Astyanax mexicanus: one gene and its partner. Each later gene encodes a partner of the first gene's protein in a complex. Links are inferred from orthologs where the notes say so. Each region holds a gene or a part of one and is shown on either strand. Other genes may lie near its edges.

Region 1 (16,351 bases):
GAAAGTTAAGTGGCTTTGAGTTAACGCGCTGGCACATACAAAACACAGACTCCCAGGGTTCAGTGCTGGTCACCCTCCTGGCGCCTGCCTGATGCCATCTCTGTATACGTTAAGCTGGACTTGTTTACAAACATACAGCTCAGCCCAAACATCCTGGCAACAGCGGTGAAAATATATTGGGCCGATATACTAGGGCCATACAGTATTGGGCAGAGCAGTTCCCCTCTATGGGAGCCAAAATAAATGTGGATTTATAGTAGAACACATTATCACTGGCATAAGAAAAAACCCAAAACTCTAACTTTATAGAGGAAAAAAAAAAAAACATCAATTCAACATCTGTTAAGTTCACTCAATTTAAAGTGCAGCTGGTATATTGGGACAATACTCAAGAAGTGCAAGGCACAGACATTAGTGTGGCATTATCAAAAAGAGGACTTTATCACACTGCCTGCATGAAAACCTGGACCAGGAGGGTTTTCCTAAACACCACACTTCAGAGGGTATCCTGCAATTACAAGCAGGTCAAAAAAAGAAGAGAGAAAAAGAAAAGGGAGAGAGATGTAGAGAGAGAAGAAGAATGCCAGAGAAAGAGACAGGTTTTGCGCTGGAGGAAATGGTCCAGAAAAAGAGGGGGATTACGTTTCACAGCACAGCTGGCCACACCTAGGGCATCGAGTGAAAGAAAAGGAGGGAGAGTGTAAGAGAGAGAGAGAGAGAGAGAGAGAGAGAGAGAGAGAAAGAGAGAGAGCACAAGACTACCTTTTCCTCTTCCCACCCTTTCCTGAGTCTGGCCTTGCATACACCCTGGCTCGAAAATTATACCAGATGTCACATCAAGAGCTGACCTGGGACGAAGAATTTGAGAAATTCTGGAAAATATTTATAGACGTGGCCCAGTCTGAAACTAGAGGTTAATACAGCCAGCCCTAAATGAGGCAGTCTCCCACGGGTTCCCCAACACACTATAACTCTGCCCGCCTACCCCTTGTGGAATGCCACAGATGAGAGAGAAGTTATAAATGGGCAGAATCAAGCCAGCCAAACCCTTTTCCTTGGCTTTGATCATGCTCTAGCCCAGGTAGGCCCTCAAAGGAAAAAAAAAGTGCAGAGTGGTTCTCTTGTTGTTTTAACTCAGGGCACTCTTGAAGCCACCAGTGACCGCCAAGAGACACTTATCGCTTCCATTTCCACACATAAACAAGCAAACAGTTTTTTTCAGTTGGTGTTTCTGTACTTCTTTGCAGCCAACTGGGCTGAAAGTCGTTAGGGTGAAGGCGCAACGTGTTTTGTTCCGACAGACTGTGTTAAAATGCACAGAGCGCGCTCATGCTCTGCCCAGCCTTGAATGGTAGCCCAGCACCATTGTGTGCTTAAAGAAAGACATGGAGCACAATGGAGCTTAGGTGAGGGCCTGTATTTAGAACACCATTTCCTCCCATCAAGCATGACTCTCCATAATAAACATCCCAGAGGAAGACATGGCGGCACGAAGGGGGCACAGAGCTTGAACTTGGCCTGAAATTTTGAATCAAACTCAGAAATAACATGAAATGGTGATTATAACAGTAGCCTGATCAAATTCAATCAAAGCCTTGACTGTCGCCCAACCAAATCCATTGCATTCAAGACTACATTCTGACCACTCTTTCTTTACTGGTGTCAGATAAAATAGTAGATCCAACTCCAATCAACTTCCAATCAAATGCAATATATGACCAAACTTATCCAACCTTTACCCAATGAGACATTCAAACCTGAGCCAGGTCCAACAAACACTTGATGATAATAATGATGTGCAAACTTATAGAAATCTATTCTTTGGATATGAATATCCAGATTCCATCTGTATTTGCAAGCTTTATCAAATCACTCTTGCTGGAGAAGTTCTGTGGGCTGATGATAGCATGGATTGCATTCTAATACTTCATAAAAAATTGGACTGCCAACAAGTTGACCACGTAGCTCTTCTGAGTAAAATATTAGTAACCAGCTTCACCACCAAAAAAGAGGGATTTGGGGTAGGAAGGGGTGTAAAACACTGTCTAGTGGCTTACGCAGTGGTATGGGCAGGAATGTATGTCATCACTGACACCCCCCTCCCTTCATTGCCCCCCTGGGAAAGGGGTGGGTAGAGTGAACGGCCAGGGAAGGCCCTCCACTGCTTTACTGCACTACTGTATGCTAATAGATCAGGCTGTTCTTCACTCCCTCTGGAGGATCTCAACGGGAGGCAAGGCCCTTCAGACAGCTTCAGACTGTCTGACGATTCACATTCGCACTGCTGATAGAAGACAGCATCACTCTGCCATCAGCTGCAGTGATAAGAGTGAATGTGTTTTCCTGTGTGATGCTGTGAGGAAAGTAAAGAGGACCTGGGGCATTTAAGTACCAGTGGAGACTGGTACTTAAATTATCTAGAAGTCTCTTTACTTCAAATGCAGTCAATCAGCTTGGACAATCACGATGTCTGAGTATTTCTCTACACCACAAAACGTCATGTAAATGTAGTATTTGTTTTATTTGTTTCATGTGTCATAAACCACATAGGCAGGCCTTTTTGAGATTACATAACATCTTGAACTGAGTATAATCAGTTCAATAAAGCTTGAAGCTTGAAGAACATTAACTGAGGACCTGTAGGCTTCCCAACTACTTTTGGGATGAGGATAATCTTGTAAAACTTAATATTTTTTCTTCACAAACCCTTATTTTCTCTTTAAAACATTAAAATGAGATATCAAATCAATCTAAACGACAAAATAAAAGCTCCCCTGGCCAACTTAAACCACACTAAAAATAAGATAAAAAGCAGGACACCCATACAACAGATGGAACCCTCTCTGAGTATCCAGCCCTTGCATGAACTATTCCCATAGCATCCATGTGAACAAAGCCCATTCAATCAGACATTCTTCAAGTGGCCCACAACCTTACAGGCCCCCTCCCCAAATCCCCATCTAAAAGAGTCTCCTCTCTTTCACAGCACCCCCACTACATAAAGCAGGGCAACCGCCCTTTCTTTAACATCACAAAGAACATGTCTTGTTTGTGCCCCGCTTTTAATGCGCGCAGTCGTCGCCAGTCCCATCTCTTAAATTGGGAAGGAAGTCGGTTTAAAGCAGGAGATTCGCTCCATATGCAGTTTTACGCAATTCCATGTGTATTTGGACCACATGTGAGAGCAGGACTTGTTTTGGTGTGTTTGAAACCCCCTTGTAAAGCAACACTGTAAAACTGGATGTCTACATTGTCACCCTTTTTTTCCATATTGCAAAATAAACTGACTGGTTGAAAGGTTTGAGACTGGGAAAGTTTTGCAACCTTCTGCGAATATTTTATTAAACTTTACATTAACCCAAAAAAACACAGCCCAAACTGTTCAAATATATCATGCACTACTGCAGAAATTCTTCTGTCTACCACCTGCTGTCCAGCCTTTCTGCTTGAGTTGAAGTTTGATTCCTATGGCAGTTGCCTGTTGAAAGCTTAGCAGCACTTTTATGGGTGAGTCTCCTTAGTTCTCCCAAAGAACTTCACCCTGCTTCTCTACAACCACACGTTTTAGCAATTCTTCTCCACATTCCCTCAAACAAAAGGACAGAGGGGCACTCAACCTGCCTCTCGGCTCAGAGAGAAAGTTGATATGATGCTGTGGTATGCTCTGAAAGGAGATGAGCCATCTGGTGAAAGGGGGATTTGAGGAGAGGGGCTCTTGGAAGAATGCAAAACGTTGGGCTGATGCTCTGCTAATCCCTCAGGCACTGAGCACTCACTGGCTATAGGAAAGCTCACTGTGATGGTTTCCAGACACTCAAAACTCAAAAAGATTTTAACAAAGTCGAGCCATCAACAGCTAACAACTTCACGCACATTTCACCTGTACTATACATTCCTGAGCATCCCTGAGTCTACCAACACAAGTGACATTTTACATTCAGGCAAGGCTTAGAAGATTTTTGGACTTTACTCTAAAGCTTAAGGTCCAACCACTCTAATCCATTCACTTCTATGTAGCACATGCAAGTTGTGTAAGATGCAATATTCACAAAATTGATATCACAATATATAATAGGTAGAATATTTAATTGTGGATAATTTGTTATAGTCATTTAATTAAAACGACCTATATAAAAGACACAGAAAAACTGACAAAGACTCACATAATAGATTTATGTAGGCTTGCAATGAAACTTAGATAAAAAATAATTAATGGTTTATAAATCATTCTACTATCAATCCATCGTGACCTATACTGACTGAATTTTTGTCCAGTCCTAGGTCATACCAAAGATGTCAACACAACAAGAGAAGCAGCCACTAAATGTGATCCAATTCTGATTGAGGTTCACTCATTTAGATCCTTTAAAAACAGTTTGAGAACACTAACACGTTTCCTCCACTAATAACATATTAGCTGTAGTTTCTTTACTTTATTTTGTTTTATTAAAGTTTGGCATTGACCAGCAAAGCACCCTGTCTAATACAGCCCCTCACACTCTGGGAAGCTGCTCATGTAAAAGTTGTAAACAAAGACTGAACAGTGTGACAGTTCAACGGTCGCGGCGCATGTAAATGAGAGATGGTATTATGAAGGCTGGATATATGCGCACATGCCCTTTCACACCCACTTTAATAAGTCAATGGGACAATACTGTTTAAATAGTGGTGCCATCTGTGCCCATCCCTATTCCTGTGAGATAAGAGGGTTTAACGGTACTTTACTTCTGTTTAAAAAGATAAGGATGTAAAACAGGCTGAATTAAACAAGGGTAATAAATGGGAGAGCTTGGAGGATTTGCATTTTGGGGGAAATTAAGCTTGAGTGAGAGATTAAAATATCCTTATTGCTTTGTTTGCAGTCGGTTCACGGAGGACACTGTCAGAAAAAGGGTACTGTACTGATAAAAACTGATTAAAACTGTTTAAATGTGCTGTCAAAAGTACAGAAAGATATTTTAGGTCCATATACGTCCCTTAAAAATAGGGAAAAACAAGTGCAACTCAATAACTTAACCTAGCTATGTTTCTTAACCCTTTATGGCATGAGGCAACAAACCATCATTATTTATTTGTTATTACACCATTCTATACCATAGCATAAATTATTGTTTATGTATGTATTTACTTATTTATTTAATTATTTTATTTTAAATATAATTTTACAAGGCATATCTACGTCCAATACAATGAGACATAAATAAATAAAAAATGTTTATACGTTTTTACATTCTTCTTGTTGGAAGCTTACGAAAACATGTTTCTTTTTTTCTTTTTCATTTCAATAAATAAAAGGGTCTGAAAAAAGTTTTTTTCTCTCTCAAAATATTATTAATGTCATAGAGGGTTAGTTAACTGTCTAGTTAACATTACATGCACTGTATACATGAGTAACTAGCAAACAGTTTAGCAGTTTTGTACCATTTTTCTGAGAGTGTAAGGCTAACACCATGTCACAAAACAGTAGAATTAGAGTAAGACTTGTTGATGAATGGCTAAAGCTGTTTTTGTTCTCTTTTTTTTATATTTTAAATGTTTTGTTGATAGTAAATCTATCTAGGTTAGCTAGATTAACAGTGATGAAAAAAGGGGAAATGAGGCAGGTTTAAAGACTCACCTAGGAGCAGGCAGAAGATGTCTAGAGCTATTAAAATTTTCCTCTTGCTCTTGTTCATGCCAGTGCTGCTATTTAACGTCGCAGTTCCACCGTTTCTTGTTTCGGGTGCCATCGCCTTCTCATACATGTATTTTGGCATGTGAGAGCTCCGTCCTCCTGCTGTACAGAAACCTCAGTCCACACGAGCACAAACTCAGCTTGCTCACTCAGTCAGTCACTCAGATAAAAAGATAGATAAATGTAGAAGGTAAGATGGGAGGCGAGGTCCGGCTCGTTTGAGGAGAAAAAGTCCTTAAAAGTTGATATTCAGAGGAGGAGTGAAGTCCTGCTGAATGTTGAACCGTTGAACCGGTGTGTAGAGTGAATAATAACCCGCCTCACGGTCACCGTCTCTCGGTCTGTGGGATGAAGACAGCAGCCCCCCGGTCAGTGTGTGTTTTCAGTCAGTAAGTCAGTGAGTGGAGGAGAACTTGAGTCCACTTCTCTAGTGTTGGAGGGCTTTCTGAGGGGAGAAGAGCGAGAGCGGCGTTTTAAAAAGCGCAGGAGCTTCAACTCCAGTTTTAAGACTCCCTTCCCTCGTCTCCTCCTCCTCCTCCTCCTCCTCCTTCTCCCTCTCTCTCTCTCCGTGTGCAGCAGAGAGAGCTTCAGCAGGCTCAGCCCCCTTCCTCCAGACCCACCTGCATGCTTATTATTATGCTCAGCCCTTACGCTCCGAGCCTGCAGCACGCGCTCCTCCTGCCACCCGTATTCAGGCAGGCCCCGCCCTCTCGCTCTGAGACTGAGTGGAGTGGAAGCGTGTCCTTCTGACTGTCCGCGCTGCGATTGGCTGGTAGCTCCTGCAATGCTGCAATCAGGAGCAGAGTCTCGAATCGCCTAGCCAATCATTGCGCAGAAGGGCGGGGCTACACGGAATACAGGCGGTCATAAAGCACTGAGAAGGTTAGAGACAGAAAGAAAGAAAGACGCCAAACGAAGAGCTGAACTCTTCTATTCTGAACAATATATTCTTTATACCCGAGTTTAACGACGTCTAACAAAGCTCCACACACACTTTTCTTCATATTCTGATGATGAAATTTTAATACATGTTTTAATTCCTTGATCTTATAAACTGTTTTGCTATAAATTGTTGTGAACCCTTTCCATTGTGTGTATGTTTTATTACGGAGCCCCTAAAGTGACATCATGTAAAAAAAAAAAAAAAATAATAATAATGCGTGGCCATGCCTTATTAAGGCATGAAAACGAGATCCTAAGGCGTGGGAACCAGATAATTAAGGCGAGGGAACGAGTTAATTAAATCATAGCCAATAAGGCGTGGCCAAAAGGTCCTTTTGTTTCATAGTTAACAAAGCGAGCAGCTCTCAAGAGTTGACTGAGCCCGTCAGCTTTTAGTGTGAGAATTAAGAGTCCCTCGCTACCTTTAAGAAACTCCTGAAGACTGAGCTCTTCAAAGAGCACTTACTACTTCTAACCTCATTTTCTGCTCCCTCTTTTTCCCTCCTCTATCCCACTATTTCCCTTTGGCCTCCTTTGGGCCCTGTCTTAAATGGGTTTTTTTTTTGTTTGTTTTTTTTGCCTTGAACTTCTATGTCTTCTATTACTAAATGTACATCACTATTGTAAGTCGCTTTGGACAAAAGCGTCTGCCAAATGTAATGTAATGTAAAAAATCTCTTCATACTTTGTAAGTGGTAGTTATGCAGCATGTATTTTTATTAGAGGTGTAAGGAAATATCAATATCAAAATATAGCAATAGTTTGTTTTGCAAATCGGTATTTATAAACAATAAATGACCAAAAAACAACACATTTCTGAATGTTCGTACTGTTTTACTGTTGCAGTATTATTGTGAACCCTTTCTCTGCATTGTGTGTATGTTTTATAAATCACACAATCATATTTTAAAATATATTCAAACTTTGTTGTAAGTGATAGTTATGCAGCATGTATTTTTGTATTGTACAGCATGTATTTTTAATGTATTGTAAGAAAATATCAATATGAACGTATAGCAATATATTGTTTGCAAATTCATATTCAAAAACTCAGTATTGACATTTATTTATTAGTTCAAATGTAAAGATTGAAGTCAGACAGTGGTTCATTTTGCCTACTTTTTAAGCCTCAACCACTAGATAGCAGTGTTGTACTTCATTGCATTGTGTCATTCTTTTTCTTATCTATACTAACGCACTAGTATTTTTAATTGTGCTGCATAATAAGAATGATATAGTAGTTTTTAAAATATTTTAAAATACATTGTGAATAAAATAATTAAACCCAACATGCTGTTGCATTCACCGATATAGAAATGAGGGAGGAGAAGAGAAAGGCAAGAGCAGATAGTACTGTTGTGGTTTCTCTATACAGAACTAGTCAGTGGTATTTTGCCTGAAATGTTCGCCTCTGGTTTTCTCAGTAGTAATCCTACTCCTCCATCTAGTGGTCATAATGGTTCACAACTGGAATATTACTGACACTGCTTTTTATGAAATTATATCAAATTAACTCACTCATTTTTTGGTTACATTACTAAATATAATACACATCAGTACATTTTATCTTCTATACACGCTTATTCTGCATGGTACAACAGATATTATACAAACTCTTTTACACAATCACACAGTTTTCGTAGAAGTTAAAAGTCTTCCAGCTGTAGTTGGAAATCATTTCCACTCTTCTCCACAGATGTCCACTAATATACACAACACAAGGCTGTTTGTTGTTGATCATTTAAAATGTTTTGTATGTTCAGGAAGTCCACCAAAAAGGTTTGAAGTATATTTTGTATCTTGTAGAAGCGTCTTGTTTAGTTTCAGCCTTTTAATGGATAGTCTGATGTTTTTTGTTCCAAGTCCAGGTTCGGTTCACTGTGACCCGCTATAACATTAATACAACAAGCCTGATACTGATTATGTACTCTTTGCGCCGCCACAACATTTCTGATCATGAGAGGCATGGGCTCAACAAGACCTCAAAAGGTCTCCTAAAAAAATCTCAGCATGGAAAAATGAAGAAGCTGATAAAGCTAAGCTAGCACAGGCTTTCCTAAAATACATACATTTTTTTAAATGCAGCATCAAGGAAGGTGTGAAATGTTTAGATATATCACAAATGTTAACACAACCTTAACTAAAAATTCATCATTAGAGCAAATAAGCTATTCACAGGATGTTTAGGCTACTAACAGTGCTGTCTCTACCACAATATGAGTACAGTGATTATAAACCCAGTTTTATTCTGCTGTATACTATAACAACCCTCAGAAGAAGCAATTAGTGTTCACAAATACTGATAAAAATCATTGGTTGTAGGCAGTAGCTAAAATTAGCCACATTGTCACACACTCAGATGGCATTTGGCTCTACAAACACTTGTTTAAAGCAGACAAACATATAGCTCTGTCAGTATGGTTCCAGACCACAGGTAATCATTACATTACATTAGTAATAGATGTTCAAGGTTAAAAAACAGGGCCTAAAGGAGGCCCCAGAAAAATAGTGGGAATCACTATATCAATCACATGGTGTGTGAAGGAGAGCTGGTCATCAACCAGAACACTCAGGTTCTTAGCAACCTTTTTAGGGAGAGAGAGAGTGAGTCAATGGTTATGGTAAAGTTGTGTTGAATAGATGGTTTTGCTGGTATAACCAGATGTTCAGTCTTGGTCCTGATCAGTTTATCATGGAAGAGAGAGGGGGTTCTCCAGCTGTAACACTACATTAGAGGCAGACGAAGATATTTTCAGAATGTGAAAATTCAGAGTCTGACACTGAGTTTAATGTTCAAATAATGGGTATTTATGACAAAAAAAAATATTACTTATTACTGTTACTGGAAATCACTCCTGTTACTGATACTTATTTATGTAACAGGGATTAGTTTTTAGCATACAATTAGCAAAAACATGAAAAATAGCTAAATGGTGGCTATGCTAATATCATGAAGACACTGAGCACATTATAATGATTTTCCTCAAAGTTCTGCCCTGGGGACAGAAATGGCATCCATTCGGTCGAATGGCCCTTATATTTCTTGGCCAATTGGGATGAATTAAACTTCTACTCAGTATTTTACAAAAAAATGGTTTGATTATTTGAATTAAAAGCCCTTAAATGCAATGGGTTCACCAGCAGGGAGGAGGGAGGACTCCCTGTGTAACAAAAAAACGAAGACCCTGTATAGTTTAAAGTAAAAAATGTAAGGTGAACGTGGAGAATTATACATATTTTGGCTTCACCTGCATAAGAGAGCACGCTCATGTTGTAAATAACAGTTTTACAGTTTTTATCTGAAGGGACTATAGTGAGAAGGTGTCTGTGTAGCGTGCTTGTTATGTTGTTGACACCATGGCTCCTCCCCTATTTTCCACGCTCTCTCTCTCTCTCTCTCTCTCTCTCTCTCTCTCTCGGGTCTGACCTATGATCTGTGGGCTTTGGTCGGGGGTCTTAAATTTGAGGCACATTTCTCCGGTCATGCTGATCTGAGGTCGGGTGAACCTGAAGCCGCTCGCGCGCCGGGCGGAGCCCCGCCCCCCTCCTCTCGCCGGCCGAAGCGAGCAGCGAGCTGCTGCCCCGCAGAGTAAAATGGCCGAGAAGCAGAAGCACGAAGGCCGGGTGAAGATAGGACACTACATCCTGGGGGACACGCTCGGAGTGGGCACCTTCGGCAAAGTGAAGAGTTAAGTGTCTGGGCTGTGCTCTGGCTGCTCTGTGAGGCGGCGGGGCTTCGGGTTGTGGAATAGCGGCTGTGTGTGTTTTTACCGTAACCGTTAATAACGTTGAACTTGCCGGCGGAGAGTTTACGTAGTTTACGCAGCGAGTTTTCACGCAGTTCGCTACGGATTGAACGGCTCTGGAGCAGAGAAGTGGCGTAGCGCTGTTGGGGAATAAGCCTTTTTACGAGTGTTAATGCTGCGTTACTCTGGGGCTAAGTTTAGGGGGTTGCAAAAAATGCACTGCACTAAATAACAAAGCCTGCGGGCGCTGTTACTGTACATGCATGGGCTCGTTTATCACAGGATTATCTGCCTAATAAATGCATACCTTGTAATTTGCAGCAGTTGTGAAAATTAGGCAAATTGTGTGTTTATGTCGTAGCATGTTTTATAGCTTTATGTCTGCAATACCAGTGTAGACAAAATAGTAGTAATAGCTAGTTGCAGTAATATTAGTATTAAAATATTACTATTATTAATAATAAACGCTTCTTTCTTGATCTGTCAGTAATATTTTGTCTACGTTGTTTTTTATTTTTATTTTTTCCCCATAAACCTAACTTACATTACAAACAATACTGTTATACTGTCCTAATCTTATAAATAAAGGCATGTTGACAAAACAATAGGTCCAATATGTCCACTGTAGATTTGGTGCTATCTGTGTGTGCTGGACAATGGTGTGTTGATTTCATGCTAAAGGGTTAGTTAATTAGCACGTGAGCTAACAGCTCTTAATGCTGATGCTATTCTCATAGGGTGTGAGCAGCCCCTCAGTGCTGGTAATAAGACAGTAATAAAGGAGATGAGATCAGAGTAAGATAAGAGCAGGAGGACTGGCATGGTGACCAAGCAGCCCTTTATTACCCCCAGCTGGACATCCCATTAAATGACCTTGAGAAGCAGTGAAGGAATTTGGGGTCAGTTTGAGCCACAGTGTGAGTGGCTCCATGAGCTAAATCAGCTCCACACATCCACTCCCCTGCTCTTTAACAATGCATCACAACAACGACACCACACAGTACTGTGCCCCACAGGATCCTGTACTGTATCCATTGTTTGTTAATTAAATGTACTCTTAACTGCCCTTATACCTGAAGCTGTTGTTAAACTCTGTAATTTCATTGTGCTAGTATCTCACCTTGTTTCATTAAAAAGCTCCTTCTGTAGAAACAGACCCGCAAAATAAGACGATAGCAACTCTGCTCTGAGGCAGAAATATGGTGTAATGAAAAAGTGACATGCATTCAAGTGCAGGAAAACCAAAGATTTAAACTGTAAAGTTATCCCCTCAAAGTAGGTCTGTACAAGATATCATTTTAGCATAATCACAATGTTCACATGCACAACAGTCCCATCGCAGGATGCATAATGTCACATTAGGCAAATTTAATTAAGTGCTAACACCCCCTAACTTTCCCAATATACATCTTACAGAGGCAGATTATGTCTGCCTAAAGAAATTATTTTATTCCAATCTTTGTCACAAAGTATATTATTAACATTGTGATACATTGGATCATTGACTTCTTGTGACTTCTGATGAAAATTCCTGTATTTTTTAAGATCACAATATATATCATAGAACAAAAAAATATTGACAGTTTCAGCCAAACTTGTGTATCCCTACCTCGAAGGGTAAAAATATGACATCAAAAGCCTTTAAGCTTTTTTTTTGTGCAACCCATTTAAAAGGGGTTAAATTGTTGCCTTGCAGGAAAACATAATTAAATTACATTAAACATTAATTTAAATAACTACAAAAAGTTAAACTAGATGTTTTCTTATCAATATGTTATTGGTTCTTTTTTGCATCACAGCCAATATTTATTACAACAAAGCTTTAAAATGATCTGTTTTTAATTTAATCAATTCATGTAAGATAAGTATCTCAAAGTAATGATATTACTAATATTATTACTATTATTACTAACTAATATTACTAATATTACACTTTTTGATACTCTTTGAAGCTCTTTTTGTTTGTTATATCTGATACAGCATTTTCTGCTGATATTGGCCTGATACAAATACACAATTCTAATGCTGTGTACCTATTAAACACTTTAAGCTTGTATTCCTGCATCTTGTTGCTGTTGTTTTGTTAATATTTTCTATATATACTGATGATTTTTAGGCATACCGTAAAACCAGAAATTGGACTGCCTGTCAGACAGTGTCAGAGTAACAGAGGCAGTGAGGTAGACTCAGTCAATTCTGCATGCCTGGGGTGTCACTGGAGTTAAATGTCCAACCAGGGACACATTTGTTCACAAGTTGAGGGGCGTGTGTTGCGAAGGACGGCTTACAGGAAAGCACACCACTTTGCCTGAACATACTTTCACTGCATAAAGGCAGGGGTAGTAAATCCTTTTAGCATTTATGTGGTGAACTATAACTATTACAGTTTTTTCCCTGAGCATAGTATTTTTCTTTTACAAAGCTTCTGTCATTATATGAGATATAAATACTGTGTGAGGTCATTATTACTGTTTTGCTGTTAGTTTATACTACATACCAATACCTGTAATTACATAATTACTTACATACACAATTTTATGTTGTGTTTCACACCTGCACATCTGACTTTTTCCATCTTGTTTTGATATTAAATGACAAAATTACTGCACATTTAACAGTAGTTTATCAAATTATATTGTACTGATCTTTTCTCTGCTTAGAAGCACAATATAATTGGGTACTGAATGTGTGGAACTTTTAACTAAATGTCCCACTGAATTCAAAGAGTGTTAAGAGTGTGACAAATAGCATATTTATATTCATTATTTCACAAATAAATATCAATATGCTTTTTGTTATCACTAGTGAATATTGCAGCCTCTAATGGTTAACAGTATAGAGAATCTGTTACTGTAACTGGTGTTATAAAACAAACTGCTGCTGGGGTGTCATGGCACTTGGTTTGTTTTTTTTTGGCTTCACACTGATCTTTCATCAGCTGTGTTATAGGAAACGGTTGGTGGTCTTGTTGCAGCTGAGGTTTCATTGGTTTGGGTATGTTTGTTTTCATTTTGCTTAACAGTTGGAGAGCACCAGCTTACAGGACACAAAGTTGCTGTTAAGATTCTGAACAGGCAGAAGATCCGCAGTCTCGATGTGGTCGGCAAAATCAAACGAGAGATCCAGAACCTCAAGCTGTTCCGACATCCACACATCATCAAGCTGTGAGTGGAAAAAAGTCTGCATGCTCTCAAGCACTTAATATATAGTGAAAGCCTGTAGAGTGCAGAAAGTCCCTCTATGGGCATCTCTAGCCATTTTCCATAATAGAACATTATTAAATAGACACATATTTCATTTGCAACCACAGCCATATTCACTTATTCCACTGTATTATTGCTCACTGAGAAACTTCAGCTCCCTTGTTGGAAGCTCTTTAGGTAAGCGAGCTAGTCAATAGTTTGGAACTTTGAACACAGTAAAGTAAAAGTAAACATTTCATAAAATATATTTACTTAAACAGAAATGAGAAAAAACATACTAACTGGACCTTTCTATGGCAAAATACATTAACTCTGCATTTGTGTTTGCCCCAAGTTTAAATCCTTAAGATAAATTAGTTTATACATAAAGAAGGATTCTCTAATAATTTAAAATATTTTGACATGTTGACAATAAAATAATTATATTTTATAGATACACAATATATAAAATATTGTACACCACATCAGTCAATTTAAAATGAACAAAACTTTCAAGATATGATTTTGTTATCATATCTTGTAAACATTCACCTTTAAATCAAGAGCTTTGCCAGAAAGATGGTTTTAACTATTTATTAATCACTGCTATTTTTAACAGTACCTCAGACTTAAAAGTAACTGGAAATTGTATTTGTTAGATGCTCAAGTGGACGTAACAAGTGGTCAAAATCTTTTGTGAGATTCAGATACATTAGAGGCCAAATCAACTATTTTGTACATTCTTAAAAAGCTTAGCAACTCCACAAGACCACAGAACACTGCTAAACAAGACAATAACAGAATTCTTTCTTTGGTGAGGAGAAAACCCTTCACAACATCAAGTCAGGTGGTGTTCTCGTGGATATGTAGGCATATCTTTGTCAAAGTCAAGCATTTTTCTTCATGAATCATGAATGAACCACTGGTAACAAACAGGAAAAGCCAGATCAGCTGTAGATGAACCCAAGATTAGGAAATGGAGTAGAAAAGAGAGGGTTCATAATCCAAAGCATATGACATGGGTTGTTATGGTTCGATTTTATAATCCTTTTAATTATTATTATTATTATGTTAATAAAACACTGTGTACCTGGATTATTTTAGCTAAATGTAATGTACACATACTGTAGAGTTCAGAAGGTTCTATGATTACAGTATGTCATGGCTACTTTTTTAGAATAGGTAGAAGGCTGCTGTTGCATGCTTTCATTTTAAATAATACAAAGCTAAATATTGTTTAACTAATATAAAAAATATTATGACCTTATTTATATAGTTTGAAAATGTCTCTGCTGGTGGGGCAGAAAGTGAAAATAACACAGCGCAGGCCAGTCCAGGCTACAGGCCAAAGAGATAAAATAGCTACGTAATCTCTTTAGACTACCTTTCATGTCTGCTGCCTGCTCTTTCTCTCTCTCGCTCTCTCTCTGTAGTCAGAGCAAATGAGAGGACTGGGCTTTAGGATGCCCTTTATCCCTCTGCTTTAACCCAGCAGCTTCCACACTTCCTCCCCTATTTGTCTCAGCAGCTCTTCAGTCACTCTCTCGTTTTTCTCCGCTCTCTCAAACATGCTGAGCTGGGAAGATCAGAGCGAGGCTTTGCTACACATCCCCCTCCCTCTGTGAAGAGCTGCCTCCTACCATCAGAACAGCACAAAGCTGGTGATGGATAAGATGTGGCATAACCGGAGTTTGCTGAGGAGAGGGGTTTTTACCCCACTGGGAAAATAGGGGTGCACCCGCCAAGCTTCGCAGTGATTGGGCATGTTCTCAGCTGTAGCAGGAACCCTCCTGACGCATGCCCCGTCTCAGAGGGAAATGACATCAAACGCGCCACAGCTGGAGGAAAGATCATGCCACACAGTCAGCCCTGCGCCTAAATAAACGTGGGGGCGCTACATGGACTAAAGGACAGGCCATGTTGTAAAAAAAAGGCTCCTGTCAGATCATTGACAGTGATGTTCATTATATACAAGATTTGACCTTTTACTCTACATGACCTCTCAGTGCGTTTATGGCAAGCAGCCACAAATGCCATTTACTCTAGCTGTGCCAAAAGATGACAGCTGCTCTCGAGGCAATCTGAAATTAACCATTAGATGTCTAGAGTTAGTACTGTTATTTTACTGTATGCTACATTTTTCTATTATAATGGGGTTCAAATTTAATTGCATAATAGCTATTTTAACGCTGCTTCCATTGTACTGTTATTGTACAGAGACACTACTGTATTACTCTATTAATAAAATAATAGGTTATGCACTCTCTCTTTCAAAGGTGTCAAAAGTATTCACATTCATTACTCAAATAGAAGTAAAGATACTAGGGTTTAAAATACTTCTGTAGAAGTTAAAGTATCAACTCATGCTTAAAAGTGTAAAAGTACTGGTTTCAAAACTACTTAAAGTATAAAAGTAAAAGTAATTTAAGTAAAAAAAAACATTAAGGACAAAAGCTTAGACTGCCCCACAGGGTCCTATAGTACACTGTTTTTTAAATGTAAGAAGTAGAAAGAGTAGATATTTGTGAAAATGTAAGGAGTAGAAATAAAAAGTCGTCTGAAAAATAATTATTCTTGTAAACTCATGATCTCTTGTAAAGATCATCAACTTTCTACTTAAGTAAAGTAATTAAGTATTTTTGCTTCCTTACTTGACACTTTTGCTCTCTTTCTCATGCCATGTGAACCGTTTCTTGTGAAAAAAGTGCTCAGATGTTTTTATTTAGCCCTGCTTCAGATCACTGAATTAGAGTTCTCCTGAGCTGAGGTGGGCCATGATGTCACTGGTTGATGTAGACTTCTGATCC
Region 2 (16,502 bases), on another chromosome or scaffold:
CAATGAGTCAGCAAAAAAGTGTCCTTGATTAAAAATGTGTTAGCATACATGTTAGCATAGTCTCCTATTGTGGCTATCAGTAAAAAAAAAAGTCTGCTAAAATCTACCCTAAGTAAGCAGTTCTGTGCTATAGTAAAATGCAGTCAATTAACCAAGACGACTGTTTGCATTAGCTATGAGGCTAATGTAGCTCAAAGTAGACATTTTCAGCATCTGAGAATTAGCATCGTGCTAACTGCATGTTAAAATCATTACGCACTGTGGATGTGTTTATTAATCTCTAATATACTTGCTTGTGATGTTTCTGAACCTGTATGAAACATCACTATCCATAAACATGTATAAATATATATTAGCATGATACTAATAAACTAGAAAACAATGTAAACATTTAAACCAATGTAAACAATGTAAGCTGAGGTCAGCTGACTACCTGAATATACTGAACATAGACCAGTTATTCCATCAATGTTTTTTTCTTCCCTGATGGCTTAAAACATATTCCAAGCCAACAATGTCAGGATTCATGCTGCTGGAATTGTGAAAAAGTGATTCAGGGAGCATGAGATCATCATTTTCACACATGGATTGTTCACCACAGAGTCCGGACTCTAACCTCATTGAGAATCTTTGGGATGTGCTGGATGGAGAAGGCTATGTGCAGCAGTCAGACTTTACCATCATTAATGCTGCAATATTTTGGTGAAAAATTAATGCAACACTGGATTAAAATAAATCTTGTCATATTACAGAAGTTTATTGAAACAATGCCACAGCGAATGTGCACCATAATCAAAGCTAAAGGTGTGTGTGTGTTTTTTGGGCCAGGCAGTGTATTAAATGTATACATTAATACACAGACTCATAATTCAAAATAATGTCTTTGCCATTCAATCAGTGAAATTATAATAAATATTTACGGAATATTTCCAGTGCCAAAACCACCGTTACTGCAGGGTGTGCTCCAGGTCTGCGTGTGGTCTGAGTATGTTTGGGTGTGTGCTGGTGTGTGTGAGTTAGTGCACAGGTTTGCAACGGTTTCAGGTTGACTGTGCTTTACTAAGAGTGCGCGGCAGCTGCTCTGCTCAAATCACACCAGCCCACTGAGAGTCCCTCTCACACTGTCTGCCCACACACACACAAGCACGCACACACAGAAACATCCGAATCATCCTGGAGACAAGAACCCGAGGGTGGGGTAAAAATTCAGATATGACACTCGTGGGCATTTACGCTGAAGCAGCTAAAAAAAAAAGTCCCACCCGCCTCTTACTCATCGATTATAAATAAATTAATGACAGTTAATACATTTATGTAATAATTAACTTTACTAATATACTTTATTACTAATATACTACTAATATAAATTAACATTGTATTTTAACAGTATGTCAGGTATGACAATTTTAAACATGTACAAATGTTGTTACATTTTATGTTTTTATGTTCAATTTGATACATTAGCATAAACTTGATATATAATCAAGTTTAGATTATATTTAAATTGAAAAAAAAATGTTGTAACATTTCTCTTGGTCCATTATTAAATTTTTACACAATTTAAAGCACATTAAAAAAATGTTTTATAGAAAAATGCAACATAAAATGCAATGCTTTGATTTGGCTGTGCTTGTTTTCTGAACATGAATTAAGCCTAAGCTTAGTGTAAAAGGCATTTCCCACAATGTTTGGGCCTAAAGCCTAAAGTAAAAGAAATTCCCATACAGGTTCACCACAGGTCAGTCCCAAACCAGGCTAAGTTCCTCTTTGATTTGAACTAATACTCAAAACAACTGCTTTCCTCAACATGGATTAAGCCTAAGCTTAGCGTAAAAGACATTTCCCGCAATGATTCATCTTTGGCACTGCCTTTTAGTCCAAGATTAGACAGGCCTAATCTGGCTCTAGGAAACTGGCCCCGATTCCATTAGCCTGAATCAGAGAGGTTTGGGTGTTGGCCTGGTGTGTTTACTGCCCCACATCACCAGACCCAGCCTGCTGCGTCCTGCAGAGCTAAAAGCAGGCCGGCATCATCACTATGTCTGTCCAGTTTTATGAGGCGCGGCAACTCATGTGATCCTCGCTAAGAGGGGCCTGGAGCTGCTAGCGGGACGAGGAGGCTCCAGGGGACTTCTGTATCTTGTAAAGTCCCTTCACCAGTCACCACCTACGCCTGGGAACATCTGCTCATGCACGACATCATACTATAAAACACATATGACAAATTACATTGATCTAGTATATGATTTATTTCTACATAATTTCTAAACCACATTCATATGATTTCCCCTATCACTTGTAGTGGGCACTAAATTTACATATAGGAATAAATACCACAAACCAGAATATATAAATTTTTTGGAAACACATGTTTTCCGATGATTCAGGATTTCAGAATTGGCTGTCTACTCTACTCTCTGATCCTAATCAAGTCTAACTGTCCCAAGGGCAGCGTTTAATCGTATATTCTTGTCTTGTGTCCTCCTGTCCTGTTAGTCTCAGAGCAGTTACGATAACGAGGATTACGACGGTTCTCAACGACTGGGGAGGAAGGCCCTGCACATGGGCATTGCATCTTTAATCATTGGCCTACTCATCATCACGGTCTTCAGCATCGTACACTTCACCACGGTATGCACACCACACACACTCCTGTAAAATTTAAATGTTATATATGCATAGGGGTTTTCTATGTATTGCTGTGGTTAGGCATTATTCTACCTACACCCAGCTCTAACTAGACCTGTGTCAGTAACCAAAAGGAAATGATTAATCTCTTCTAGCTTTTCAGATGTAAAAGGAAACATCAGGTTTCCTCTTATAATGGAGACATTAACCACACTAGCATATGGTGTTTTTGTGGGTTGCTTTGTTAAACTAGTCTGTAAAAGTCAGCCTTTATTGTGCTATAAACTAACACTAACTTAAGCCTGAGGCAACCAACAAATTAGCTTTGTTCTTTTACAGTTTTGCACAGTTTTAGCGGTGTAAAAAAACACACCGCTACATTAACACAGCTAACAGCAAGAGTGCTAATGCTGTGTGATTATAAAAAAACAGAGGGTCCTACATAGGGTTGCCATCTATGTCTGACAAAAAACCTGGAGACTGTCATACTATAACAACTGATGAACCATTTTTTTAATATATATATATATATATATATATATATATATATATATATATATGTGTCACATTAACTCACCTCAATATGCCCTTTGCAATCATTACGTGGGCAATGTTAAAAATACTATTACAAACTGCACGTTTGTGTTCACTTTTGAGCCACTCATTCTAGATTCTGGGAGATTTTATCTGACTTACGGGAAACAGGGAGCCATTATTCATATGCGAACTTCCATGAGACTTGGGATGTCTGCCATAAGAAACAGAGGGGACTTGGTGAAGCAGGGTTGTACATAGTATTGAATATTTTGATAGGGTTTACTTTAGCCATGCAGCATAATTTTTATTTTGCATTCAGTCATTGTTAAAATGAGTTGAACATTTCTTTTTCTTTTTGACTGGCTTGACAGACCAAGTAGACAGAATCTTACCTCCATTTCACCATGACAGCTACAGATTCACTACCTATCTAGTTCTGCCTGTAGTAGCTGGCAGGTGCTGGTGTGGTAGTCAAGTCACATGACCCTGCAGTACCAATGAAAACAGCTTTGATTGTCACCGTGAAAAATATGCAAGAGGATACAGAGAAAATTGATTTAGTCTGTTTAATAGACACAGTACATTAAATAAACTTACCTACAGACAACAGAGACATTTATAGATGAATCATTATTTAAAAAGGAAAATCCAAGTGAAATCTGGACAGGTGACAACATAAGTAAATAAAAACACCCTGAATAGGGGTTCACAGGATCACAGTGAAACATAGCTAACAGCGCAAAGTGTCATCTGATATGGACTTACGGGAAGAAAAAAAACAAGTGCTAATTATCTTCGTTGGGGAAATTTATAGAAAAAAGACCTTAACAGACAGGCAAAAATGTAGGGTCGCCACCTTTCAGAAATGAAAAAAAAAGGGACGCCCATCAAAAAAATAGATCACTACAAATGGACATTTATGGAAATAAAGAGCAAATCCCGGCTGATCGACTTTTACAGTAGCAGCAACATAATTTTTTTGTGTGTTTATTTATACTTTTGTTTAAATGCTATGAACTGTTGCAACACTGAATGTTTAGACTAAGCTAATCTTTAGACACATATGATTGCTAACACATCTGTAATCTTACTGTTTTTGTGTCAGAATCCAAACTGATGGCTAACGAGAAGCTTTAAAAGGATTATTTATCTCCATGTCCATGTGCTTTGGTGGACTGACAGCAGGAAGATGGACAGCGCTGCCCTCCATCATGCTAATGCTAAGGACACACCGCGGGCTAGCACACTACAGCAGTCATGGCTAAATTGGCATTCTTTCTTTTTTAATTTTACGAAGTCTTATGCTCTTATGAATGTAAATTATGCGACAGAGGAGCAACTGGAGAAGCGAAATAATCTGTTTTATGTGTCTTAATTATCTAACTTAGCCTGTGTTTACTAGTCTAGTGCACTACATATTTCAATTACAGTTAATGTACAGTTGACACTACCTGTGAAATGTTTTGGTGCACCTTGCTTAGATTTATAATGCTGATATGTTGCTTTAACCTTCAAAAAGGTGAAAAAAAAAATGTTTAGTGGTCATAAAGCAGATGTTTGCTAATTCTATGGGTTAATTGATCTTGGTATGATAAGCATGTCCTGCCAAAGTAATGATTTGACAGATTTCTTTTTGAAATATTTAAAATATTTTGTCTCTCTTAGTTAAGTTATTGAAAATCCAACTAAAAAAACAGGATTGTTTATTTTAAAGGGCCCATAGCATGGAAAGCTGAAATGCCAAGTTTGATGTAGTGTATAAAAATTGTTTATGTTTCAAATGTTTAATTGTTAAAGTGTTATGTATTCACTCCACACTTCATACAATCCATTTACAGAAACTAAACTGCTAAAACAGCCAGTATATAATACACAGTTTTGTATGATTCAGCATTGTCAGAAAAACAATGCTGACTGAAGTACAATAGGGGGCAGCTAATTAGAAAATATATCAGAGCTTATTTACATATAACTATCCTAAGAGATGAAGAAATGTTGGAAAATGGTCATACAAAATGTATTGCAAGGAAAATGTAGAATTTAGACTGTAAAAGCTAGGTGTCCAAAACTTTTTTCTTAGGCATTAAGCAAACTTTTTACTCCCTTAAGCTCTAAAGGCGTGTATGTAAGCACTTACTTCCCTTACCTTTTAAAATACACAAATTACAGATTGGAATAATAAATAGTGGATATGAACGAATTTACAGTAGACACGGAACAATTCATAGTAGCTAATGAATAATAAAACTAGATCCTTGAAAATTAATAGTAGATACAAAATATTTCATAGATATATAGGATACCAAATAATACATAGAGGATACTGAACAACTGATGTTAGATAAAGAATAATGCATGGTATATACTGAATAATTCATTGTATTTTCTGAATAATAAACCCTAAGGTAAAATAAATCTAGGTCTAATAACAAAAAAATAAACAAGGTTTAACAGCAAACAATGTTGTAAATAAAATATGTGAAAAGTTTACTTAATACACAAAATAACTTAGAATTTAAGTTCACATGGTTTGAAGAAACGTTACAGAGTCTTAAAGCACTTGTGTTCATGTAACACCTGCAATTACTTATCACATTTTCTTAATGTATATTCAAAATGTGCAGCTTCTACACAAGTTAACGTATGTTAAAAATGAGCTCCAACAACCATTTTTGGATTTTATTTGTGAAATCTCCTGTTTAACCATGAGGGATACAGTAATTCAACTCTTTTTTTGATAAAAACACTGATAGCAGATCATATGTATGTACAGAAATGATGCCTATGTGTGTGTCTGTGATTTTTTTTAACATGTAACAGATGTGAATAAAATTGTATTAAAAGTAAACTATGTAGGTTAATGTTTATAACCGTGATTCTGCTCGGTACAGTCATAAAAAACACGGACAGTGTTGAAGCTCTTTTTCCACTGACTAATACACCTATAGTCTCTCTCTCCCTCCCTGTCTTCTCCTCCTCCTCCTCACCCTGTGTAATCTGCAGACTGCGTTGGATCTTGTATTCTGATATGTAATATTATAACCAGTGAGGACTAAATATAGCTGTGGTATTCTCCAGACCTGGCAGAGAGAGCAGTGCTAAGGATTTCAGCAACTCAACACAAAACCTACATTCATGTGCTTCACATCCTCCAGACGCTACCAACAGATTACATAGTGGTTCATCTGAGCTGTGTGCACTCACCTCACTGTTCAGCTGTGTGTTTAGCACATTATTAGGGTTAAACTCATCACAACACACACTAAACACTGTCTCTTTCTTGTCAAATAGGCATGAATTAGGCCCTGTATTGCTGTTGAGTGGTCAAGGTCTGTTTCCCACAGTGTAGCGTTTCCTGCAGAGAGGCAGTGAAAGCAGATAGCCGTGAGAATGCCTTCAGAAACAGAGCCTGCACACACAAACACACCTCACACACACCTAACACACCTCACACACCTGACTGGCAAAGACCAGTAAGCATAACTATAAGGTCAACTACAGTCAGATAATAATACAGCTAAGATAAAAACAACAAAAACTCCTGATGAAATTTGACCTCAAGACTTCCATCTACTGGTAGCTGGGTTCAAATGGTCTAAGCTGATATTTAATGGTTAAACTGGTCATATTTGTTGACTAGATTGCTAAAGCTGGTCAGAGTGGTCAACAGGCCTGGTCATATTGGTTGACTAGTTCTGTAAAGTTGGTCATACTGGTGAACATAGGACAACATGGCCACACTGGATGGTTGTTGGTTGACTAGTTTGACAAAGCTGGTTGACCAGTTTGGTGAAGCTAGCTAATCTGGTCAATAAGTTTGTCAACAAGTTATTGTTTACAACAGTAGTTTAGTACATACTGGTGGAATAACATGGCCAGGCTGGTCATGCTGGCCAACCAGCTGGTTCAGATTAGTCAACACACTCTGTCATATTGGTTGACCAGCAGGTGGGTAATGCAGATTAATTAGTTTGGTCATACTAGTTCAGTAGTTTGCTAAAGCTGGTCACACTGGTGGTCAACATAACCTGGATGTTCATACTGGTCAACTAGCTTGGTTATGATTAGTTCACTAGGTTGGCACGGCTGATTAACCATTTAAGAAAACTTGGTTATGTTGTTTAGCATGTTTGGTAAAGTTGGTGATATAAGAGGACCAATATTGTCGAGGCTGGTCACACTGGTCAACCAGAATGGCTGTGATAATGGTAATTTTGGTCAATAAGCTTAGTCATGCATGGTTGACCAGTTTGGTAAAGCCTGTCTTATGGATAAATCAACATGCCCTAATGGTCATAGTGGTCAAAAAGCATAGTCACACTAGCCACACTGATGGACAGTGGCCAGACTGCCCTACTAAAAAATCCAGATCAAGACCAGCTGGTCATCCAGAAAGAAATACCCTTTGATTATTGGCTAGCTCGTTAACTAGCTTAGGATAGCCTATGTTTTTACTTGATGACCAGCTGGTCTTGAGCTGTTTTTTTTTTTTAGCAGGGTGGCATGCTGATTAACAGGTTGGGCCATACTGGCTAACATGTTTGGTAAGGTTGGTCAACCAGCATGGTCAGGATGATGATCATTTTGGTCAACAAGCTTAGTCATGTTTTTCTTATTTATGATTTAACATGACCTGATAGTCAACAGTGATCGAAAAAGAACAGGTTAGGTGCTACTGATTCGCTGCCTGAGGGGGGCCTACAAAATAATCACAATACTACACTGGTGGTTTTAATGTTATGGCTGATCTATGCATGGGTTTTGTTTGAATTTGAAGAACTACTTAAACAACCCAGTTAAAGCACCGTAGGAAGGGAGCACTGTAAACACGTGGTTCAGCAGGACAAGGGACACGCGCGCGCGCGCACACAAACACCGGAAGAGGAGCGTGCTCGTGTGGGAGGAGAAACATGGCGAAGTGAAAGAAACAGGCAGGAGCGGAAAGAGAGAGAGACTGGGTAAGAGTTAAACCTCCCACAACACACACACACTCACACACACACTCTCACACACAACGTGTGTGTATCTGTAGAAGTGTTTTAGAGTCAGTTCCACTCAGACACACTGAAATTTAGCTTCTTAATAGCCTCTGTTCTCCTCCGTAACTTCCGTTTTTTTCGAGCAGGAGGGGTTAAATCTCCCTCTCTCTCTCTCTCTCTCTCTCTCTCTCTGACTTACTCTCTCTTTCTTTCTGTCCTCTCTCTTTTTTTGTTCTTCCTTTTTTCTGTTCTCTCTCTTACTGTTACTGTTATTTCCTCTCTTTCTGTTCTTTTTCTCCTTTTCTGTTTTCTCTCTGTTTCTCTCTCTCTGTTTCTCTCTCTCTGTTTCTCTCTCTCTCTCTCTCTCTCTCTCTCTCTCTCTCTCTCTCTCTCTCTCTGTGCTGAAGGTTAGAGAAGGTCCTGGCTCTGTTCTGTGTGGGTTTGAGGTGAATCACAGCACGGAGTAACTTACAGTCTGGTCAAAGTTCAGATCAGTGAGTCAGCTCACTCTCAGTCACTGCACTGAGTTTCTACAGGTTTTTTCTAAACCCTGTGGGCTATAATATAGGTCAAAGTGACCTTATTGACTTTATTTTTTATATCTTTACGGTACATAAATTTCCTTGCTCAGGATTTCATATGTTCCTCGTTTAACTTGTTTTTGTATTTTCCCAATCCCATTTTTCCTGACTTTATAAATAAATAACATTTTTGTGGTCATGCTGGTCTACCAGCTTAGTCACCACCAATAGGCAATACACGAGAGGAGTTTCTGATAAAGTGGTCTGAGACTGTTGTGTCCTACCTGTATTACATTCACCACAAGTCAGTGTCAATATACTGAGAAGGGGCCCTGCTGGTTATGCTGGTCAGCCTTAACCACTGAAATAACATGCATACATAACTCTCTTAAAAGATCACAATATACAGTACCATGTATAATATTTGGACACACATTTTCTAATTCAATGTTTTTTGTTTTTTTTTTTGTTTTGTTTTTTGCATTGTAGATTAATATTAAAGACATAAAAACAGGTCAGGGACGCATATGGAATTATGTAATAAACAAAAAAAGGCCTCCTACATTTGGCATCCACTATCCCCTGACCTAAACCCAACTAAGATGGGTGATATGGGATGAGCAGGAGCTCCAGGAACTCCCTCAAGCATCTAAAGAATAAAAACATATTCTGTTTTGTTTCACATCACGAAAAGCAAGAAAACACATTGAATGAGAAGTAGTGTGTCCAAACATTTGACTACTCTGTACTGTATTTTCTAAGTTTAAATGCGTCACATCCCCCACATCACCTTATTAATTACTGATAAAAACATATTATATGGTCAAGACACTTAACATGCCATATGTAATGGGAATAAAACAAGCATAATAATAATTTTATAATAATTGTATTTTATACTATGACACAATATATCGCCTTGCTTGCAGTTTTGCAGTATATTGCATGATGCGTTGAAATATAACCCTGTACTGTGATGCGTATCGCATTGCCAAGTTCTTGCCAGTACACAACGCTAATTGAGGTAAGATTAGAGCATTTAATAACTTGTTTACACTTAGAAACTGTCCAAAATTTAGTGTACAACTGCATGTACTTACCGTGTAGTATCCAGTGGTACTTCTGTTGCATATTTGCTGTGGGTGGAGGTATTACTTTGTAAGAAGAGACAATGCAGGTCTCAGATAGATAGATAAACAGTAGGAGATGTCTGATAAAGCTGTGCAAAGGACAGTGGCCATTTTTACAGGTTCACCAATTGCATGCAGGTCTTGTGGTCATGGGTAACGCCAGCAGTGAGAGGAGTGCTAATGCCCAGCGGCGGGAGAGCCGTGGAGCTAAAGATGGAGCTCGACCCAAAATACTGATGGACAGCACTGAAGATGGAGATATCTTTCAAGCAGATGATGCCAAGGTCAGTTTTTGCTATATAGGTGTATAACATGTTGATTACAATGGTAGCAGTAACACTGAAATGTCAGACACAGTCATATTGCTATACCTTACACAAACTCCGGTTCACTGATATGTTAACAATGGTCCACCACCTAAACATACCTGGACAAGAGCTGATCCCTAATGAAGGGCTAGAAGGAATGTATCACTAGACCTTTCACAATTACTCAATTCATTAGGATAATATATTGTTTCAGAAGCAATTGCCATAAAAAATATTTTTTGTCATATTATAGTCACTGATTATGTTCCAAAATAATGCAGTTACACATTACATTTAAAAAGCAATGAACTTTAATTTACTAAGAATATTCAGATATTTCATTTCAGAAATGTAACATGTTTAAATACCTTTATTATATTATATTATAAATAAAAATATTGTTTTTAGACAAATTTACATACTGGCTCACTAAAGTGAATATGCTCTCCTAGCTTAATTAACACAATAGACAATATTGATAATAAAGGTCATGCCCATCTGTTGTATGATATGTAAATTTGTAGCTCAACACCAGCAGGGTGGAGCAACAAGAGAGGAGTTTCTGATAAATTGGCCTGAGACTGGCCACCATGGCCAATGATGGTTCTATGAGGGTCTTTTTCTGTTTTTTAAGGGGGTAGAGTGGGCTGATAAATGCTGCAACAGTAGGTAGGCTGTAGTCTGTACCCGCAAAGCAGACCACTGTGATCGGTTGGGTTCATGAAGTGGACACTAAGTGGAACAATGCTAGCAGATATTCACTTTTTCATTCTTTTCAGGAGTTTCTGGCCTGGCAGCGTGATCTGGAGTCAGACTCTAAAGCCCCACCTGAAGAGAGACCCACTGTGTTTAGGTGGACAGGCCCAGCTAAGGACGTCTATGTGTCGGGATCCTTCAACAACTGGGCCAATAAAATCCCCCTGTCCAAGAGGTCAGCCTGATAACTAGTCACTTTATCAACAATCATGTATTTTCCTAAATGTCTTGACAAGTATTCCAGTAATTCTAGTATTCCAGTCTTTAAAGAAGGACAGACAATGGAAAAAGTGGACAGTAACAATTTTAAATTTAGCTAAATTCTAAATACAGATCAAATAGAGAACTTTGATAAGCTTTATTATTATGCAAAATAGGGATAAATAATTTCTGACTTATCAAAGTATCTACTATAAATAATTCAATGTATTCCGTTACATATATATTTTTAGTCTCTACTATGAATTATTCAGCATATACCAAGCATTGTACAGCATCTGGTATTATTTTTTTAACATCTGGAAATCATTATAACCACAATAAATTATCAATCAATATCCACTGTGTATCACTTGAAATCTGATAAACGTTTTACAGTATATTTTCAGATTTATTTAGAGTCTACTGTGAATTAGTCTGTGTCCCAAATGAAGATTACAGCAATGAATACAGAGGTATTTAGTATGAAGTATTCATTGTCCAATATGATTTATTCAGAATCTACTTTGAAATATTCATTGTTCAGTATTAATCATTCAGAATCTACTATGAATTTTTCAGTATGTGCTAAGAATGATGTAGTATCCACAATGCATTATTCACTAGCCCATATTAAACTAGCAGTATCAAACAAGTTATTCAGTTAATTTATTTACTATAAATATCTACAACTATATAAACTGCTATGTAAATCTCTGCAGTTATGAGAGAGGAATTGGAATATGGAAGAAAATATCTTTCCTTAGAGTTCAAAGAGTTAATAAGTTTCTTTGCTTTTAATCATTGATTCTGATCACACAGAGATTGTGCATTTTACATATGAACCACTAGAGGTCACTGTGGGGTTACAGTTAGAAGAAGCATTTTGTTTACAGTCAACTAGGAAAACTACATATTACCTGGTAAATTTAGTGAATTGTAATTATGATATTTTTGAGATGGTGGTGCTGTGATGGTGTAACATAACAGTAACGCTTTAATTCCTTTCTGTTTCACAATTAGTCACAGTAACTTTGTGGCGGTAGTTGATCTGCCTGAGGGTGAGCACCAGTACAAGTTCTATGTGGATGGAAACTGGACACTGGATCCAAAGCAGGTACCACCATGTGTCCATAACATGTGTCCATGAGTACTAATAGCATCACTTTACTTATCTCTTGGGTTGTAATATGTTTTTAACGAAAATAATAATAATAACAATAATAAGGATGCATCTAAATGTTAGGCTTTAAAATATTTTCTGTATTTAAAAATAAAGTTTTCTTCCAACTGTTAATATAATTTATGAAAACACTGTAAAAAGATGTAATGTTTTAAAATAAATATAACCGCAAAGCTTTTGCAATTTCATATGTTGCATTAAAACAACAGTTAACTGGGATTTAATTTTTTGTTATGTTCGTGCTCTGATTAAAAAAAAAAAAAGTTTTCAATGTTTTTGGCTGTAAATATTTATTTCACTTCATCACTAATTGGTTTCATTTTTCTCAGCCTGTAGTGACCAGCAAATCTGGTACAGTAAATAACATCATCCAGGTGAAGAAGACAGACTTTGAGGTTTTCGATGCCCTGAAGACAGATTCAGAGAAATGTGCTGACATGTCAGGTAAGAGCTCAAACTCTTTGTGTTAATGCAGTCCGAGATTAGAGAGATTCTCCTGAGGTGATGTCTTACCTGTTCTCGATTTCAGACATGTCCGGTTCTCCTCCTGGACCGTACCATCAGGAGCCCTACAGCACTAAATCTGAAGATCGACTGCGTTCTCCTCCTATTCTCCCGCCTCACCTGCTGCAGGTGCTGCTCAATAAAGACACCGGTGTCTCTGTGAGTAACACTTTGGGTTCCTTAATACTTTGCTGCAGAAACAGATGGGATGCGTAATGATTGATTATGCATGGTATAACTATTGATGTAGATGGTATATGTAAAGTGATGAGTATGGATGGACTAGGTGCTGATATCGATGAGGCGGTTGTGGATTGAGGCGTTATAGGCTTTGCTATAGATGGAATGGGTATGGGGTTAGGTATAGATGGTATTGTTATTGTAAAGATAAGGAAGGGTATAGTTGGTTATATATGAAATGGGTGTGGATGTTATAGGGTTTGCTATAGATGCTATGGGTATGGGGTTAGGTATAGATGGTATAGGTATTGTAAAGATAAGGAAGAGTACAGTTGGTGATGGATGGTATGGGTGTAGAGAGATGGAAGGTGATTGGTTTAGGTGATATGAGTATGGGGATGTGAGGGTATGCCTGTTGGGCTTTTGGAGTAAAAAAAAGTATAGTCTGTTACTTTAACAGATCTTTCCTAAAATGATATGATGTTAGCTGTGTGTTATATAATATATATATATATAGTAGAATTTTAAACCTCTGTGTTTTGTGTTTGTTGTTATGAACAGTGTGATCCAGCTCTGCTTCCCGAACCCAACCATGTAATGCTGAACCACCTGTACGCTCTCTCTATCAAGGTACAGCTCATCATAATCCATACATACATATATTGTTGTTTTATTCTTTAAACTACGGATAACATTTCTCCCAAATAAAAATATTGTCCATAATTATCAATAATCATTTTTATCTGTTTTGCGTATATATTTGATTAGGACTTCTGAAACAATGAATGGATCATCAAAAACATTTTAGAACAATTAAAAAGAACCTTCAAACCATAACAGGCTTTACATTAACTGCAGGAACTGCACTGTAACACAGCTGATTCCATCTTTATCTTAATTTATTATTCATATTATCATTCATCATTTTACTAGGAAGCACAGAATATTCAAAATTATTCAGCAAGCAAAACTATTCATCCAAAAATGGCTCAAAAAATATTTTGGTGTTCAACCAAATAATTGAAAAGATAATATATATATATAACAATATTGCATTTTTAGGTATGGCTGGTGGAAAGTTAATGATTATTGTTTAAAATATATTTTTTATTCTAGTTTTGTATTTGCTTTTTATTTAAAATGAATGAAAACCTGCAAACCATGTTCCGTGTTCAGTTTTTGGCCAAATGTTTAGTTTTGTTCAGTCTCTGTTTCAGCCAACAATTTTCATTTTAAGTTATAACTAAAGTTTGGTTTTGCTGTCGTTTACATTTTTACATTTTATATACATTTCATTCATTAAATCAATATGCTCATAGACCTGCTGTTGTTCTGGTGTATTTATTAAATCTAATTTATCAACCAACAAACTTTAGAAAACAAAAAACACTATGTGTATTATAAAGTATTATAGCAAGTTTGTTTGCCTCCCTCAGATGTTTCAAATAATGACTTCTAAACTCTTAAAACTTTACAGTTTGAACTTGCTTTTTTGCATTATTTGAGTTCTGAAAGTTCTGCATCTTTTTTGTTATTTCAGCCATTTCTCATTTTCTGCAAATAAATGCTCTAAATAACATTTTTATTTGGAATTTGGGTAAAATGTTGTCTGGAGTTTATAGAATAAAACAACAATGTTTACTTTACTCAAACATAAACCTATAAATAGCAAAATCAGAGAAACTGATTCAGAAACTGAAGTGGTCTCTTAATTTTTCAAGAGCTGTATTTTAATGTATAGAATTAAACTGTTTCTCATTTTCCTCACAGGATGGTGTTATGGTCCTCAGCGCCACTCACCGCTACAAGAAGAAGTACGTGACTACACTGCTGTATAAACCCATATGAGCAATCAGCTGGGAAAAGCTCACCTGGATCTCAGCTCGCTTTATCAACACTATTTAAACAGAAAAGAGTATTATTAAGATAATGAGCCTTAAAAAGCATCAGAAACTCAAGTGCTGATATATCATCACTGTAATGTCCAAACCTTACCCACTCCATATCTGAAACCACCAGCTGCCTTTCACATTTCATGAAGAACAGACCAATAGAAAAAAGGACCAAAATTACTTGTCCCTACTTTAAAAAGCATTTTTTGTTTTTCTAACAAAATATACCATTTTAAGATACTGTCACAACAGTGATTGTATCTGTGTGGGTGCTCACAACAGCATCTATATATGCAGGGGTCCAATAAACTATGACTGTATTTAGATTTTTTGATTTTAATAATGAAGTAAGCCTGTAAAGAGAACCGTCTGACCTGGTAATGCTTTTTAAACTCAACTATTTTTAGACTGTGAGATTTTTCCAGTCATGACCAGTGTGTGCTGTTGATATTGTTATCTGTGTTACCTTTTTCATGCATTTTATCACTTCTTATCAGAGAATACACATGGAATGATTTATAAATAAAAAATATATATAAAATTAGAAACCTGAGGGTTGATTTCTTTTCTTTTTTTCAAAATGGGCGCTTGCTGTTTTCTGTAACACCTGTTGGAATGGAGTTATACATAACAGTGTGCTGACCGTTTTTAAAACTATGAATGTACTTATTACATTACAAATAACACACAAACAATCTGCTATCTGTTTTTGTCAGCATGGTTATTATTGTAAGCAATATTTTTTTTCTTGTAAATTACACAGAAAACGTATCAATTACAGATTTCACTCCACATCTGGGGTCAGCGTCTCATTTACACTGGCTTTGGCTGAGGTTCTTGTAGGCAGAGTTGTAAACGTGATTATACTGGGCGAAGCAGTGGGCAGCAACCCGGTCGCATTCACACACTGCGGCCTCACATTTAGCGTTGGATCCTTTGGACACAGACAAACACAAACAATCACACAGTGTATATGTAACAGAGTGAGAAAATACCTTTGTTTTAGATGAATGTCATAAAATTAGACACTTTAATGCTCTAAAGTAGTGGAGTAGTGGCGCCCTCTACTGATAAGTGGTGAACTGCAGTTATGCTACGTTTGATCCTGCTGAGCCACCGTCCCTCAGCAGCAGTCTCTGATTTCCTGTTTATTTTCTGATTAACTGCAGTAGCCACCCCAGTACAAAGAAAGTAAAAAAAGTAACGTTTTACATTTTTGTCTTCCAGTGCTGCAAGTTCTCACACAAAATATAGAAATATTGAAGAATGGGCGAGCGTGTGTACGTGTGCTACTGTACTACTTGGTGAGGGGTATCATTAAAACAAGCTGGGTCTGCTGACGGTTTCTTCACACTGGTCTGGGTCACGGCACCTATTTCCATTCTTCTTTATTTTGTGTAATAACTTGTAGCAATAGATTATTAATTTCATGTTTATTAAGGAATTATTGTTTATCCTGTGTGTGAATTTGAATTTTATATTTTTACCTTATTTTGGTACTTTGGTAAAAAAAAAAAATCTCTTAAAAATTGCTGTTGATTTTTTTTTTTTTACTGCAAATTATTGTATTCTTAAAGAAAAAATCTTTAAGAATACACCCACATTTAATGAAATAAAATATATATCTTAAAAAGCCTGAATTGTTAATAACCCCAAAAATTCTTAACATTTCTAAAAAGTTAAGTT

The links.
Region 2: the proteins of prkaa2 (region 1) and prkab1b are in contact, whole or in part, in a crystal structure (PDB 8BIK), measured with the Homo sapiens proteins. The link is inferred for Astyanax mexicanus from reciprocal best matches to the Homo sapiens genes PRKAA2 and PRKAB1. Residues at the interface, in NP_006243.2 of Homo sapiens: Gly9, Val11, Lys12, Ile13, Thr21, Lys29, Lys31, Asn48, Arg49, Arg53, Asp56, Val58, Ile61, Lys62, Ile65, Gln66, Lys69, Val82, Ile83, Ser84, Thr85, Pro86, Thr87, Asp88, Phe89, Phe90, Met134, Met164, Ser165, Asp166; in NP_006244.2 of Homo sapiens: Pro79, Thr80, Val81, Arg83, Thr106, Ser108, Asn111, Val113, Ile115, Gln154, Val155, Asp159, Phe160, Glu161, Val162, Phe163, Ala165, Leu166, Asp169, Ser170, Lys172, Cys173, Pro186, Tyr187, His188, Gln189, Glu190, Pro191, Tyr192, Ala202.

The regions. Positions count from the first base shown.
Region 1 is NC_064408.1:61,604,964-61,621,314, forward strand, and holds the start of prkaa2 (5'-AMP-activated protein kinase catalytic subunit alpha-2), read left to right. Parts: upstream 1-10,047; 5' UTR 10,048-10,210; coding exon 10,211-10,304; intron 10,305-13,384; coding exon 13,385-13,526; intron 13,527-16,351. Other genes in the region: plpp3 (phospholipid phosphatase 3), read right to left, coding at 5,618-5,756. UniProt on the Homo sapiens protein: Catalytic subunit of AMP-activated protein kinase (AMPK), an energy sensor protein kinase that plays a key role in regulating cellular energy metabolism.
Region 2 is NC_064419.1:33,188,175-33,204,676, forward strand, and holds prkab1b (5'-AMP-activated protein kinase subunit beta-1b), read left to right. Parts: upstream 1-7,994; 5' UTR 7,995-8,123; intron 8,124-9,933; 5' UTR 9,934-9,944; coding exon 9,945-10,079; intron 10,080-10,882; coding exon 10,883-11,034; intron 11,035-12,080; coding exon 12,081-12,174; intron 12,175-12,569; coding exon 12,570-12,684; intron 12,685-12,769; coding exon 12,770-12,903; intron 12,904-13,485; coding exon 13,486-13,554; intron 13,555-14,694; coding exon 14,695-14,772; 3' UTR 14,773-15,364; downstream 15,365-16,502. Other genes in the region: transmembrane protein 233, read left to right, coding at 2,497-2,631, 4,271-4,282; pla2g1b (phospholipase A2), read right to left, coding at 15,626-15,750. UniProt on the Homo sapiens protein: Non-catalytic subunit of AMP-activated protein kinase (AMPK), an energy sensor protein kinase that plays a key role in regulating cellular energy metabolism.